Lepisosteus oculatus: one gene and its partner. The protein of the gene in region 2 interacts with the protein of the main gene of each other region in a biochemical or structural test. Links are inferred from orthologs where the notes say so. Each region holds a gene or a part of one and is shown on either strand. Other genes may lie near its edges.

Region 1 (8,486 bases), on a different chromosome or scaffold from region 2:
GACTTTAAATTTTACAATGGAGAAAATGGACTTCCTATTGTACCGCTTTTCAATCACTTCAAATGCCTTGGTACTGAGATTCTACCAGAGATGCTACAAGTGTTTTACTCATACCTGTCACTCATAGTTGTCAGATTCTAGCTTAGAGGTCCTGTGGTTAAGAAGTTGGAGTTTAGTTTTGTCTCCTTAGACACCAAATCCTTCTGATATGCTGAATTCAATATTAACCATGTTCTAAGGGGGTTAGATCAGATCCGGTATCTAGCTCAGTACTATTGAGCCCTGTTACATACTTTAGGAGTGCCATTGATGGCAGGGAGCATGAGATTATTGTGCTGTACTGATAAAAAAACAGTTAACACATAAATGTCTAATAATTTCCAATAATATGTTTACAATAATTTCAAAATTGCAGGAAAGAAAACATGTGCTTTTAATTTAGAGGGCTTTTTTTGTGGAGCTAAACTGTTTTATATTTAGTATATTTACAACTGTATGTACAAATATTGTTATCCCCAACAGGATATAAAAATTATAAAAAATTAAATGGTTTGTTTCACTTAGATACTGTATATTTTTGAAAGTACAATTATAAAACATACATGTTTTTAAGACGAAAGTGTCACAGACTTTCTTAGTTGCCCTAAACATGTTTTAAAAACATTTGGTGATGAAGAATTCTGATAGTTTTTGTCTGGTTCTGGTATAGTGTGTTTTCTTGAAATGGTTCCTGGGAACTTTCAGTTCTTAATGCATGTCTGGAAAAAATATATATTTTATCTCCAATAAATATGACCACACAATTTTTAAACATACCCTTAGCCAGCCAGGACAGTGTTGTCAGAAAGGCCTTGGTTTATTTATTTTAGCAGGAATCCCTTCCAATTTAATGTAAAAAGAATAAAAAATAAGATCTCAAAACAAGATTGTTCTTCTTATTTGATCTGTCTGTTTTCCTCAATACTTCCTTTTGACATCACTCTACATATAGTATATTTATAAACATGTCATATGGTTTTTAACATGAAGCAACTTTAAGAGTTCTGTGGTTAGACTGGTTAGGACTCTTGATTTAAGTCCTGAAATTCATTGAGTCTTTTGCTTTGTTTTGTTGTTGCGGACGCACTGAACTATGGTGAATCCTTGGCACATTAACAATGCCTTCACTTGCTCACCAGACCAGCAGTGAACATACATATACTGTAACTATCGCAATATCCTAGCTTTTCCCCTTTAATACATGTTTTTTTTTTTCTGCTTGGAGTGCAGTGAATGTACAGGCAAAAGTTATTAAGTATATTTTATAAAATGTGACGTCTTCTCAACCAGATGAGCAAAATAGTTCTTGAAGTCCCTTGCTGCTTAAAATAATTTTAGTTTGAGCAAATTTAAAAATAAAATGAAGCACACTATAATACATGTTGCTGCTTATGTAACTTTACATAGACAATGACAGTATCTGAGTTAATAAGGTATCCTAGGGGAAAAAAATCATTGGGAAACTTCAGCAGAACTGATTCATAGTTGATATATGCTAAATAGGGTTTGTCCAATGATTGACAAGTTAGTGTGCAGAACTGAGAATTGAGAGATGTCGACTGCTTTTCAATTAAAAGCCTTTCAGTCATTATTGCAATTCCAATTAGTTTCCACTGGTGTCCTCAGTTCCTTGTTTTACTACTGGTCTAGAGGCACTCCACTGTTATATTTTTATACTTTTTTAAGCTGTTTAATGAATTTAAATTATAAATAGCTATGTGACAGAAGACTAGTCCCAGAGTGTGAAAATAAAATATACACTACATTGGAAGAAGATATTTTAAACTTCTTCTAAAGAAGTTTTCATACTTGTTTATACTGTAAAACAAAGCTAACGAGTTTAATAGATTCTAAAGAGATTCAACTCCTTTAACCTGTTCCTTGAATACCAGGAATTAAACTCACTCATCTTCTGTGAATGATTCCAAAGCACCAATGTCCTTTTTGAAATGTGGAAACCAAATAGCAAATACAATGAAAATACAATGAAAAAGATAATATGGCAAGGGCAAAAGGATACGTTTTAAAGTTGTTTAAAATGATAATTAAGGTGAGTCGCTTGCATTCATCATGTATTTGCCAAACATTAATATTAATTAATATTCATATAAATCCTCATAGTAGTAGGCCAATGAATAATATTAACTGTACATAATGTGTAAATGGAAAGCCATATATTTAGGATAAAGTTTCTATTGGAAATAACGAGGGAAACAGCTGAAGGTAATTGCCTATCTCTATTAACTTTTCTTTTTCCAATGAACTGTGACACACAAAATACTTGTAGACTCCCATCCTGCATTGGCTGAAGCACCTGAAGTATATAAAAACATGAATCATTTTGCACGGGGTAGTGTTTTGAGAGCATGAATGGCTCCACTGTTTTGATTTCCAGGTATTTGTGGCCAGTTATTGAACTGAGCCATTACATTTTCACTCACTGGAAACGTCAGTGTGGCTGAAAAAGAAATAAATCACATGATAGTGCATTATTCACTTGAGGACATGCAAGAAATTGTATTAATTACTCTTCTTTGTGCTCAGAAGACATTATGACTTAATTATATTTTTATCTACATACAATATTTGCATAGAAATTTAATCTTTTTCTAGGGAAACTAGATCCAATATCGGTATAGTAAATAATATCTTTGTTAAAAAAGAGACAGTAGGTCGGTAAATGTCATACAGTTTCCTAATGTTTTAATGGCTTAACCAGGACATAAGCAGGACATAGTCTGTCTATGACAGCTCTGTTCTAAATTATAATATCCAATATAACCAGATTTGCAGTATGGTGTGTTTGATTATTTTATTGACAAATATGTTTATCTCTAAAGTCAGCAGGGCTGACTTTTAATTTCTTTCAGATTTAGTACTTCATTATTGTGTTTGATCCATAGCTGCCAAGATGAGTATAATCCGATTTTGGAACTCGATAAAAAATTCTGAAAACAAAAACTTAATATGCTCAATAAATCAAAAGACAACCTAACACTATTTTCCTGTTGATTAGTTTGACATTTGGAAGCAGTGTGTTCTGGTTTCTAAGATGCATAACTACCACACTACAAAATAATCCATGACTCTCTGATGAACTCTTGCTGTATACTTTTAAACTCTGTTCTTATTTATGTCTGTCTCACTTAGTTGTGCCTGTTCTTCAGTGTCCTATTCCAAGATAAACCTGCTGAGTACAAGCTGATCACACTTCTCTACATAGTTTCATTTAACTGTAAAAGAAAAAGCAAACTTAACACCTCCCACTGGTAATGTGTTTTTTCATTCTTTTGAGATATGTTTATTTGACAAACGTCTGTGACTTGTTTTAAAGATATAATGCTCAATGGCAAAAAATCACATAAAATATTAGTATGCAGAAGCACCTATATACTCCTGATTTGTTTGTTTTCCTTTAATATCCATTTTCCTTTAATTTCCTGGGTCAATTAAAATTTCCAGCTTTTTTTACATTGTTTATTTCTGTTTATTAACTTGTATTTGTTTAAAGAAGGACTCCAAAAAAGTTTAGATGTATGCATGCATTTGTAAACTACATAGTGATTTTTAAGTTGGGGCATTACTGTGCATCCACCCTGAACAATAGAAAAAAATGGTTTTACATGTGTAATGTGAATCTCTATGGTTTTCCTGAATTTTAAACAAAAATCATTTTATAATCATATGTCTGTTAGGTCCACATTCCATTTTCGCTCTTTCTATAAAAAGGACAGATAGTGGCAATTGCTTAATTTCCTGTTTCTTATTCAAATAAGGCAGTCAACAGCCTTAAAAAAAAGGCTATATTTATCTTTTAGTGCTATGTCAGAGATGGTATTATGTTATGGTCACAGAACTATTTATTGAAATTCTGAACTATTTCTAACTTGTAAAATTAAGATGCTAATCAGAAAAAATTAAAAGAAAGTTAACTTTATCAGATGGAAGATGGAATCTTTTCAAAATGAGACCTTGGTTCGAAAAAGAGTTTTATAATAGAATGTTTGTATAGTTTTAAAATTTAGCACTTTTCTGCTTAAGAGAAAGTGATCAGTCTGCTGATGGCAGCCTTTCCTAGGACAGTTTTCTATTTAATGGTCACAGCACAGAGCAGGCTTGCCCTAAGCCTAGATTGCTGTAGAAATGTAGCAGGTCATTTGAATACATCAGATGTGAGCACAGGCAAGTCTAAATCTTATGTCACGTTATATAGGTATCATGTAGTTCTGTTGAAATGTGTAATGTCCTATTTTGATTTGGGGCATCAGAATGAAAACTTATGGTTTTGAAAATGCTGTCATCAATTATGTATTAGTGGATGCTTGTAATTTGAATAGAAAAAAACTGCTCTGAGTTTGTCCTCTGTGTTTAAGAGATTTCCAAAAGCATATGACCGATATTTATACATGTATATATTCAGTCTGAGACAAGATAGCATGCTATAATTTTTTGTTACCCCACACTAGACCAGTGATTGATTATTTTGTGCCTGATTCAGGAAAAAAAAGGTTTAACTGCAAATACAGAAGCAGTCATCTGTTCTGGTATTACAGCTGTTTACAGAGTTCTTAAAAGAAGCAGATTGCCGCCTTTATCAGTTTTCGCTATCATGAAGGAAATATACGGTAGCTGTGGATGTAATTTGATCAATCTAAATTAAAGTTTTCTAAATTGCTATGTAAAGATTTGTAATGGACACGTTCACCCAGTCAGTCTTCAAACAAGCACTGCACTGTCCTCTTCAATCTAATAAATGTGCGTGCAGCAGCTTTCTAATTAGTTCCACAAGGCACTTCACACTATAACAATTACAGGAGTGAGTATGCAGAGTCCCCCCCTCAAGTCCCCCAACACACACCCCTTCAAAAAAGTCCTCTTTAATAAAAAGAAAGCCCTTAGTCAGCTGCTGGCGTGGGTTATGAATTTTCTAGCCATCCACTCATATCCTGGGAAAGGAAAAATAAGGAAAAAGCCAAGATTGAAAACAGACACAACCACTCTGGTGTTGAGAGTAGAAGAGGGAAGTACCCTTTTACAAGTCCTTTTAAATTCAATAGAACTTTTTTTGTCTATAGAAAACAAGCTTTGCTTTTAAATGTAGCTGTAGTTAGTTTTCTGTTCACGGCACTAAAATGACAATTTGTTCTAACTTCATATAAAAGTCTTCATCAGCCTCTTTTCTTTTTCATTTGGACTTGAATTAGTGAAGCTTGCCAGTATATTGTCTCGTGACTACTTTTTCTTTTTGGTGTTTTGTTTTCGTTATTTCGTAAGGAACAGAACACGTTTATCATATATAGATTTATGTTTCAAAGGTGTCAGCCAACAGAACGTTTTTTTTTTATGAAAGGAGCTGTATTCTCTGAAAATACATGACCTATGTGACTGAAGACCAATAGTTTAATCTTGGCCTCTTCTGATGTTTATTTCAACTTTTAACAGCCTTTTATTCTTCTAAAAGGTGATTTTCAGTGCTGCATCAGTGGCCACCCCTATCCTTTCATTTGAATAAATAAACAGAGTTCTGGTGCCTGTTTCAAGGGCTCAAGGGGCTAACCAGATTACAGCAATCATCTCTGAAGATTTGAGGAATCTACCCCAGTTCTACAAAAGGAAGCTAATTGAAAACTGCTACTCACACTTTCAAGGCAGTCGGACAGCAGTTCAGATCCCTAAGAGAAATCACCGTTGGACAATGCTTTAAGTTTTTTTAAAAGTCTTTCTGATACTAGAGTGACGTGTATCCAAGGTAAGTCTTTCCCCCTTTTAATATATTTTTTATGTGCTTTTTGTTCACTTAAAGCTGTCTTCAAATATACCTGGAGTATATTTGGTAGAAAGTCTCCAGTGTTTAATATTGTTTGAGATCATTTAAAAGGAGAAAGTTTGTAGATCTGCTGGATTTTATCAAAGTCTGCATTAACAAACGTTGACTTAGTTACATTACACAGAAGTCTATTGCCCAAGTTTCTGAACTTGAAGATCTATTGGCTGTTTACAGTGAGATATACAGTACCATATTGGAGTTTTATCCTAATATATATACATACCATATACCCAGAAGCTGAAATACAGTAAACCAGAACTACAGTGCTTTTGGCATCTAATATTGTTTATAATACTTTGCATAAACTCAACCTATAAAAAATATGAAGTGATGTGTGTGCATGTTTCAGATTAGACTTGTAAACAGCCATGTTATTTCCTTTGATGTGGGACCTAATTGGTTCACTTTAAAAAAAAAATTAAGCAACAGCTTGTATAGTGTATGTAGAAAAGAACTTCCACATATAAGAAATGAATACTTGAAGGCATGTCAGAAAAAAATACCCACTAATTAACAGAACACAGCAAATTCTAAAATTAAAAACAACAAAACCAATTTATCTTGGAATATCAAAAACAAATTATCATGGAATGTCAGTATTTCTCCATGGAAATCTTTGGAATTTGGCTAGTTATGCTGCAGGGAAAATATATTTTCCCCTTGAGTTTTCCACATTTAATACTGAGTGCTTTAATAAGAATGCTAAAAATCCTTTCTGCTTCAGAAGTACTTTATTAGGCTAAAGTGGTGCTTGACTTTAGGGGATCTGTATATGCTTATCTGTTTTCTCTTCAGACTTTGAGTTTCCTGAACTGTTTACTTTCACACAATTAGGCCATGTTTGACAGCCTGTCCTGTTGGCTGTGAAATCTTTTGTCATTGAGCAGTACTCTTGGATTGCCTTTGTACATGAAATGTCAACTTTTATGTCAGTGTCTTAAAAGAGAGCTAACCTCATTTTCTGTATAATCTAATATTTCCAGTGAGGTGTTCTCTACAGAAAGGCACAAAAATAAACGTAAACAACAGCTTAGTTAAACTGTTGATAATAGCAAATACAATAAGATAGACTTCAAGAACGTGCATCCTGTAAAGACAACCACTGGCACAGTTTGCTTCACGTAAGAAAACCTTTGGTAGGTATACAGCTTAGGCAAAGGAAAATGTTCACCCTTCTGTGGCAGACATCTGGTACACAGTATTTTGTTTGCATTTTTGTTTTCCTAGAGGTCATGGGAAAGCATGAAAAGCATTTTTTTTACTATGCTTGAGTTAAAGAAATGTTAGGTTTAGATTTTTGGACAGTCAACTGCTAATAACTTATCATGCTGACACTTCACTGAGGTGAATTTATGTCATTGTTCTGTTTTTTTTAAAAAAGCAAGACTGAGGTTTACTTACAGCTAGCATGTGGGTGTAGTATGAGTTGCTGCAACTGTTTGTACAATCTGTGAGCTCCTTTTCAAGCTTATATAATGTTCTTCCTGGATTTTTAATGAGGTTCTAGCTAGTCTACAACTAAAACTAATGATGGTGCTGATAATGGCCAAAAAAAACTTTCATTTATATTTTCCACCAATTGCAGAAATGGTCACTAATTAGAATCAGGTGCTGGAGTGTTATCTACAGAGGAAGGGGGACTTATATAAAGATTACTTTTCTTTTGGTTAAGTATATTTTAATATAGTAGGTAAATGAAAAGTGTTTATAATTGCCAGTGTAATTATACAGTATTTTATATTTGTCTTTAGAATGTTTTCAATTCTTACATCTGAGACAAGTCTGCTTATACAGATCTACACATGTATAAATGAAAAGGTTATTAAACTCTTTGTACATTTTTCCAAGATTGAATCTATTGGTTAATTATATACTAATTATTAGGATTTGGGTAATCAGACTTTTTGTATAAATCATCTTTTTCAATCATGGTGTTCAACTGAAAATGTAAAAGAAAATCCAGTGAATGTGTGTGAAATACATCTTTCTACTAAAACAAATTTACACTGCAGAGGAACTGTGAATTCTCTGAATATTATAAAAAAGCAGAAAACGCCCGAATAAGGCTCCACAGCCGAAAGATTGTGTTTCCTTTCTTCTCTTTTCAGCATGGAATAAACCTATTACTCGTTCCTTCAAAACCGCCAGAGGTTTGTACAAGCTTCTATAAGTCACTTTGATTGCTACTGGATATTAACTAGGTATTGTCAATCTTAATGGCTCTAGTGGCAATTGTTTTAAATTCATAAGCCTCCCCATTTTCAGCTGAGGTGTTCTTCAACAATAAATTCATTGCTAACTGGCTCACTAATTGTCTCACAAGTCAAATAGTACAACCTGAAGTTGTTGGATGAAACACAAATTGAGTATTGTAGAGTCTTACCAAGACTATTATTATCATAGAAAAACCAGTGTTGAAAAAGAATGTCATCCGTTCAATGCAGAATAGAAATGGATTGTTGCCCTAGTTACAACTGGACAGCTGGATTGAAAGTTGTTTCAAGATATTTTAACCAGCAATTGGTGTCTTTTGTCATGAAATTCAAGATTGGTTTACAAATACAGTTAATAATAAGATAAGTTTGAGGCATACATCAAACCCAGTGACCAGAGGATTAAG
Region 2 (8,390 bases):
TGACGTGATCATTTTCATGTTTTTGTTTAAAACAAAAAATACAGAATATAACAGTACTGAAGTAATAAATTCACACTTAAATTATACTGTTTTATAATTTCTAAAACACCTTCAAAGGCCTGGTGCTTCCTGTGGTCTCAAAATACTACCTTGATGCATAGAATGTGAAAGCTGACTAAATGAAGACCCCACCAGTCAAATGTTTGATGTTCAGGTAGTTACAAAACACCATACTTATGAACAAAAATTCAAATGAAATCTTTTCTGATTTGTATTTTGTGCCCCACCCAGGTGGTTTGACCTTTGCATATTATTTGAAAAAAAAAGTATAAAAAATTAAGGTGAAGTTAAGGTGAAGCAAAATTAGGGACAGTAAATGGGTTGTTGTTTCTTAAAACATGTCATTGAAAATATGGGATGCTTTTCAAACAGCTCTATCGTGAGAAGTGTACAGCATGGAGCAGTAAAATCTGGAGCTCATACAAAGAGGAACACAAGGAACTCCTTCCCACATGTGCACACATTACACAGCAGAGGATAAAGCAGCACAGCCCAGAGGCCAACAGCTCCAGTCTACAGCAAGAGTCTCAAATCCTGATCTTCCATCAGGTACTGTTGGTACTGTAACCATCAAATCATTTATCTAGAAAGACGTGGAAAAATTGTGATGGTATGGTAAAAAGAATGGGTTTAAAGATGTAGTGCAAAACTGAATTAAGGGACTAGAGTTCCTTTAATTGAATAAATTACTAACTTAACTGATTGGTAATTTACAAGTATTCCCGCTCTTTAGAAATATGTAACTTAGGGAGACCAGTAATACAGGATGTAATACTAGATTAAGGCTTTCCAGAGCATGGGTTGGACATCCCTATTCAAGAGTATAAAATCATCAATATGCCTAAAGTAGCTTCTTCCGGAAGGAACACATTCTCTCTGGTCCTATTTGTACTTCGTTTATCAAATTATACTGGCACAGGTCTCTCAATACCATTATCTGTAACAGCTTCTTCCTGCAGGCTGTCAGGCTCCTCAACACCCTGGAATCTACTTGCCCCCGGCCCAATTCCAGAAACAGGGTTAAGATCCCCCCAGTGTGGTGTGTATATTGGATTATATATTGCCTTGTATTTTGCACTATCTGCACTTTGCACTATGTGTATCCTGTCTACAATGTCTATGTCAGTGTCCTGTCTGTCCTGCCTGTATTTTCACTGTGGACCAGGTGGAACGGTATTTCATTCCACTGTATACTTGTATATGGCTGGAATGACAAATAAACTTGAACTTGAAATTAAGAAGGTGAACTACATTAAGAAGCATCCTTTAGAAACTAATATTTGTGTCTTTCTTTTACACTGTGTGATATATTGTTTGTATTGGACACAATGAAAACACATCGAGGCTATACAGTACCTTTTATATGTCTTTCCATAGTGGAAGAGGAGGTGGAGTCTTTCCTTGTTGGATTTTAGGATCTTTTTAAAAATGTTTTGGAACCTCACATTCAACTGAAGAAAGAGATAGGGGGCAACAGAAATATTTTATGTTGTTCTGTACAAGAGGTGGGAGGACTCTCAGGTATGGTTTTGAGTCACTGGGAGGGTGTTCCCAGCCAGTAGTAGGTGTTGTGAATATACTATGAAGTCACACTGTACAGTAGCTGCCAGCCAATTCGGATCCATAGCATATTGACTATATTCTCAAATATATAACTATATATAATATATAAACTGGATGGTTCATTCCTCTTTATCCTGTGCATGCTAGTAAAAGCATATAAAATTCAATCAGTCAATTCAGTTTTCATCATCAGACCTGGAACTACAGTATAATGACATGTAATATTTTTTTGGATAACTGAAAAACCTTTTTTGTCAGGATCCTGTCAGGGCAGGGAGGTTAACTACTGTAGATGTTTTTTTGCTGAATACCATGGCAAGTGTATGAGATGCAAAACTGACAAAGGCAACTGGAGTTCATGCACGGGTCACTGCAATTCCAGGATGTGTTACTTCAGCATTTTGCCTGTCAGAACCAGAAGCACAATTCCTGTTCTTAAATTTGCTGATTCGCAGCCTGCAGCACACTCAATCCACTATATACTCTAGTTGCATCAAACCTGAATATCTTCTATAGAAAATCAGCACTGGGTGTGCCCCGATGACTTCTGTGGAAACTGGCAGTGTTACTATGGAGTAGATTTCTAATTGAGCACATCCATTACATCCAAACTATTGAGAATTATTTCAATTTATAATTCTCTATTTATAGAACTTTACTTAACTCAAATACATAATGTGCTGCATCGTCTGTAGTAGTGCCACTACAAGGTACAATTGAAATTATCAATGTAAAGAGAATAGATTGCTATGTCAAGAACACCATGTGCAGGTCTCATGATATTTTGATGATATTTTGAGGGGGTAACCTAGGTCTGAAAAATGACTTCTCATAGCTACTTTTAAAAACTTGCAGAAATCTAGAAAATAATATGCAATGAAGGAATTTTCTAGTCTACTTTGTACAAAACACTGTTGTTACGTAGGAGGCCTTTACAATATAAAAATTCAGCCCATTGAATGTTGTTATTTATGACCTGTTTCAGAAAGGGCAGAGCAGAAATGCATAAAATGGTCAAGAGAGAATTCATTTTTTATTTTATTATTCAAGCATGTGTTTGAGGAAGAGATTAGAAATCATATACCTAAGTCTCAAGGACAAATAAAGCAAACAACATGGACGCCGTGACTTCAGATTTTAAAGATTTTGCATAAAGTACCATCATTCTTTACATGTCTGTTTTTATGCATACTTTTTAAATTAGCTGTGAAGCAGTTCAATTGTTAAAAATTACCTGGCTCAATTGATAATTACACAATAATGTCTCATAAATATTTATGCTGGATTTGTGGATGTTCTTAATATTGTATTTATACCATTATTTATACCATTACAGTTAGGATATAAAAAAGTGCTCAATGCTTCCAACATTAAAGTTGGACTTCCAACTTTAAATACATTAAAGTTGGAAGCATTGAGCACTTTTTTATATCCTAACTGTAATGGTATAAATACAATATTAAGAACATCCACAAATCCAGCATAAATATTTATGAGACATTATTGTGTAATTATCAATTGAGCCAGGTAATTTTTAACAATTGAACTGCTTCACAGCTAATTTAAAAAGTATGCATAAAAACAGACATGTAAAGAATGATGGTACTTTATGCAAAATCTTTAAAATCTGAAGTCACGGCGTCCATGTTGTTTGCTTTATTTGTCCTTGAGACTTAGGTAAAGCGCCCAAACATGGGATATGGAATGTTGGTAGCCAAATAATACTGGTTTGATCTGGTAAGAGTGATTTGAAATTGGTTTTGGATTAATGATAATAATTATTCCTTACACTTATGTAGTGCTTTTCTGGATACTTCGCTCAATGAGCTTTACAGGTAATGGGGCTCCCCTCTACCACCATCAATGTGTAGCCCCCACCTGGATAATGTGACGGCAGGCATGGTGCACCAGTACACTCACCTCATGTCAGCTTTCAGTGGGGAGGAGAGCAGAGTGATGAAGGCAATTCATAGATGGGGATTATTAGGAGGCCATGACTGTTAAAACCCCTGGGATTTTTAATGACCATGGAGACTTAGGACCTCGGTTTTATATCTCACCCAAGGCGTAGCCTTTTGGACAGTGTTGTGTTCTCATACTTGGGGTATTAGGGTACTATAGGGGGTAGCAGGTCTCCCAGGTAATGGCCAGGCTCCCACCTGCTTAGCTTCAATGGGTTGCTAGTTGTGAGTTGCAGGGTGATATAGCTGCTGGGTAAATTAAAAATAAATTAAAAATATTAAAAAACAGTCTAGGCTTTGCAAAGTGATATAAAGTTATAGAAGAAGTATAAAAGGAAATGTAAATTTCTCTTCTAAAGGAATTTTGAAGAGTGGGTAACGTTTTTAGAAAGCTAAGAACTGGGTAACTGCAATAATGCAATGCAATAATAATGGGAGCAAATTACTCTGACAGTTTCCACCTGAAGTATACAGCTCAGAAACTAAAAAAAAAACGCACTCCATCTCTAGTGTTACTCAACTGTGCGAGTGGGCACTTTCGAGCAGAAACAAGTTTTCAGTTGTTAAAAACGTTACGGAAATAACATTTGTGTTCGAAGCAGTACCAATACCACAGCAGATGTTAACCCATGAAAACAAATTACTAAAGTCATAAAAGGTTTTCTTTAAAAATCTTGTGCTGCCGTGGATCTCCATCGAGGGCAGTAAGATTCCGATAAACCCCTATGCGAGCTCGAAATCCCTCCAGGTATTAAGTTATGTCTGTGATGAAGAATTGTGTTGCCGACATTATAACTGTAAGTTACAATTACATATTCTAATGTCTCAAATACTTCTTTCTCGCATTGATTGGTACTGTAGTACTAAGCAGTTTATACAGACTTTACACGTTCTTTGTGGGGATCTGATATTACTCAACTCCCTTCGGTTAAATTCCATGGGTTGCGCTGATTGGAAAATGCACACCTCAACAATAGAAGTGCAACAAAGTGCACTTCCTTTGCAGGAAGATAACAATTATCTTACCGTGTGGCTATCTGAAACTTGAATTACTCTATTATTTTGACAGTCGCCATTGGCTCATAAAAGCTCTCTTTGTGGTAAAGTTACTTGAACGGCGGACAATGATTGGTGCTGTTGGCTGTCATCTGTGGAAACGTCATGCTGCCTTATAAACTGCGCGGAGTTAATTTGAGTAACCAGATTGGAGGCTTTCGGCTGTGACGGAGAGTGCAACCCTTTTCGTGAGAAAGAGTTCAGACTGTCGTGAAGTTTTTAGGAGACTTGTGTGCACTTTAAAAAGGGAATTGCAGCTGGCGGTGACAGGGACAAGTCACATCGAGACGTCTGACGATTTTAAAAGCGAAATCTATCCATTTGCATTTCCTTAACTGCAAGTTTGGAAGTTACACCGCACTTTTTGAGTAACTGTGCAAACGTGTTGTTCCGTGCACGTTTCTGGCGTTGGTGGCGACCTATTTAAATAAGACTTTTTTGGAGTACCTGACAACATTACACTCAACAGTTTTTTTTATCAGAATAACAAGGATGTCCAGCCATAGCGAATCTCTTCGACCCAGGTTGTGTTCGCTGGAGAAAGGGGGGAATGGTTATGGTTTTCACCTCCACGGGGAAAAGGGGAAGACCGGTCAGTTCATTCGGCTGGTGGAGCCGGACTCCCCAGCTGAAGCGTCGGGGCTCCGCGCCGGCGACAGGCTGGCGTTTGTCAACGGGGAAAGCGTAGAGAGCGAGAGTCACCAACAAGTGGTGTCCAGGATAAGAGCAACAACCGGGGATCTGAAACTGATCGTGGTGGACCGGGAGACCGACGACCTGCTGAAAAAATACAACCTGAAGTGCCAGCCGGAGTATGTCACGTCGGGCATCCCTATACCGAGCGAGTCAGAGGAGGAGGTCGGGGAGAACGGCAGCCGACGGGGCTCTTCTCCGACCCCGGAGAAAAATGGAGATATCACTGGCGAGAAAAAGCCGAGTGTCAGCTCCGAGAAGGTAAGATGGATTCAATTTAAACGTGTTCCCAACGGTTGTTTCGAGATCTGATTTAAAATCCCCCTTTCGTCAAATGCAAGCATAGAAAACCTGTTTACCGCACTTTTCTCTCGTTGTATCTCTTTTTTGTTCAGCTAGTCTCGCGTTTGTTTTTTGTGTTGCTGTTAAGAGTCCAACTCTTACAATTAGATTTTGAGAAACTGCCAGCTACCTGCACTTCGGGGGAAAAAGTTTTTAAGATTACTAGTATGATTGAATGGAGTATGCTAGGTAATGCTCTTTAGGTAAGTACTTCTGTGATTTACAATGTGGTAGCTCGCATCATACACTAATAAACAAGCCCCCTTTATTTTTGTATGGAACGAAACCAGTTTGTGTAGTTCCAAAACAACAAAAAAAAAACAAATGAGTGTTTTATCAGTCTGGTTTCTGAAAAGTTAGTGAAAACAGGCTGTTTCTCTAGCTGAATTCCAGTATTTGGCATTCGGTTCAGGCAGCTTAACACTCGCCTCCAACAGTATGTTTGTGGGCAGCGTAGGAACAGCACAGGCTTTGTCCGCCTCTATTGTCGCACAGGTGCGGGAGGTTCAGAGCTCCAGGTAGCAGAGCGCCGCGGGCTCGGGTGGAAGGAGTGTTCCGTCAAACTGCGTGGGAATTTTTTTCCCCGGTTTCCCAATCTTTGAACGCAGAGCTAAAGCTTAAAGGAACATTTGTTACCACCCAAACGTGCGACAGTTTATTCACATCTCGCGATTTATCAGCTGAAGTAATGCTTTCGGACCGCAGAAATGTTTCTTCCGTTTCCTGGCTGACCTAGGTAAAGTAAACGAAAATACTATAATGTAAATCTAAGTTACTTTTAAGGAGACAGCTTGGACCCACACTGGAAAGGTTAATAGGTCTGTTTAGAGCAGAGGCTGGGAAACACGTGGTTGTTAAAGTTCAGAGCAGATACTCAGAAATTTGACCCATCTCATGGACATTATGCTTTCCTTGTCAGGAGCTTTTGCCTGCTTTTCTGAAATATTGATGTTTCTTGTTCATGCATACTGTGAGTGATCTGTCTCGTGGTGATTGGCACTCCTCCAACGTAACATTTATGGGGGTAGTGTTTGTCAAATCAATGCTATGTTATCCCATGGAAAGAAACATTCACCTATCTATCTGTATCAATTCAGCATCATGGGGGAGTTAATCCTGTCCCAGAAAGCAAAGGGTACAGGGTTTGATGCATCTTGCATGGGACAACAGACACACTCACACCAGGGCCAGTTTTCCCAGAAGTCAATTAACCTACTAGTATGTCTTTGGACTGTGGGAGGAAACCAGAGCACTGAGAGGAAACCCACATGAACATGGGGAGAACTCAGGGCTCCACATTCGCAAGGCAGCAGTACTAACCAATGTGCTGCTAAAAAAAACATTGAAGTTGTGTATACTTTTTGTAATCATTTTATCAGTGACGTGTGCTGACTAGCTACTCTGAAAGATCGTCTGTATCTCCCATTAGATATGTGACGTAAGAACTTTGAAGATACAGGTTAAAGGCTGTTCCAATCTTTTAGTGCTTTGTGGGTAGCCATTATTATATTATGGATAATCAGTCTGCTCAACCACATGAAAACTAGTTGTGATGTAAAAATCTGCAGCCTCCTTTAAATTGAATTTACAGTAGATTTCTTCACGATAGGACAGTTAAACAATGCTTCTTGAGCTCGTAGTTCTTATTTAAGACTTTCCAAAAAAAAATCAGAAGATATTGTGTGGAAATTAAATACTGGATATTAAGAACTGCTGAAAATGTGCTTTTCTGCATCTTGCAACAGAGCTTGTAAAATTTTCAGTCCAAACTGTAAGAGGTGACTTGGTTTTATTCAGCATCTTGGTGTAACAAGTTCTGGGTTTGTTTCACTGAGAGTCTGTGAAATAACTTTAAAAAAGTGTTTAAAACAGTTTTTTTCCCACCTTTTGTAAGGTTGAGTCCTGTGAAACTCAAATGTTCTTAAATTTTATTTTTGATTTTACAGTGTCCTTAAAGCAATTAAATGTACAGTAGTTGTCTTAGCTATGGCACTGCCCAAACCATGCTGGTGTCACCAACATTTTTGGCCCCTTTTCTTTAATTTGGAGCTGTACAGGATTCCCCTGAAGAGAAACAGCCACCTTCTCGTCTTCACGTGACGCAAACGAGTGCTTCACTTTTCAGCTTTCTGGGATAGGAGAATTCAAATGACCTCGACAAACCCTGGCTGCTGTTTTGATACAGTATGTGCCACCCTGAGCCAGTCCCTGAACCTCCTTGTGCTCTGTCCTTCAGATGAGACCTGAAAACTGAGGTGCTAAAAGTGGCTCTGGAGCAGCAGGTGTTAAAATATTACTCAGCCCTTCAGCCTCCGTAAGTCACGCTGGGCAAATGGTGTCTGTTAAATGAGTAATTATTAAGTGCTTGGGTATGCAATTACTGCCAAAGCACATTTCTAGAACATTCGTTAGTAACTGAAGAAATTAGAGAACTTTTCAGAGACTCGAGCGGAGGAGTGTTTTGTCCGGCAGAATCCCTGAAAGCTCCCTTGTCCTTGTGCTTATGGTAAAGTAGATCCAAGCCCACAAATTATACAGGTTAAATATTTTACACTTGTGGTGGTGTAACACTGCCATGCTTTCTGTTTTCCTTTATTTCCAATAGGGTTTTAGAAATCTTTTCAGCACATTGTTTTCAAATCTAATGCTCAGCACAGCAGTTTTAATTTATCTGATACCTGCTTCGCAGGGAAACTTGGTAGAAGAATATAATAG

The links. The genes of interacting proteins can lie anywhere in the genome.
Region 1: the proteins of Na(+)/H(+) exchange regulatory cofactor NHE-RF1 (region 2) and pdgfrb form a complex in vitro, tested with the Homo sapiens proteins (2 studies listed by BioGRID and IntAct, with this or other methods). The link is inferred for Lepisosteus oculatus from reciprocal best matches to the Homo sapiens genes NHERF1 and PDGFRB.

Annotation. Positions count from the first base shown.
Region 1 is NC_090706.1:32,305,375-32,313,860, reverse strand, and holds the start of pdgfrb (platelet-derived growth factor receptor beta), read left to right. Parts: upstream 1-4,963; 5' UTR 4,964-5,788; intron 5,789-7,979; exon of another isoform or gene 7,980-8,016; intron 8,017-8,486. UniProt on the Homo sapiens protein: Tyrosine-protein kinase that acts as a cell-surface receptor for homodimeric PDGFB and PDGFD and for heterodimers formed by PDGFA and PDGFB, and plays an essential role in the regulation of embryonic development, cell proliferation, survival, differentiation, chemotaxis and migration.
Region 2 is NC_090704.1:34,889,998-34,898,387, forward strand, and holds the start of Na(+)/H(+) exchange regulatory cofactor NHE-RF1, read left to right. Parts: upstream 1-4,771; 5' UTR 4,772-5,132; coding exon 5,133-5,594; intron 5,595-8,390. UniProt on the Homo sapiens protein: Scaffold protein that connects plasma membrane proteins with members of the ezrin/moesin/radixin family and thereby helps to link them to the actin cytoskeleton and to regulate their surface expression. Necessary for recycling of internalized ADRB2.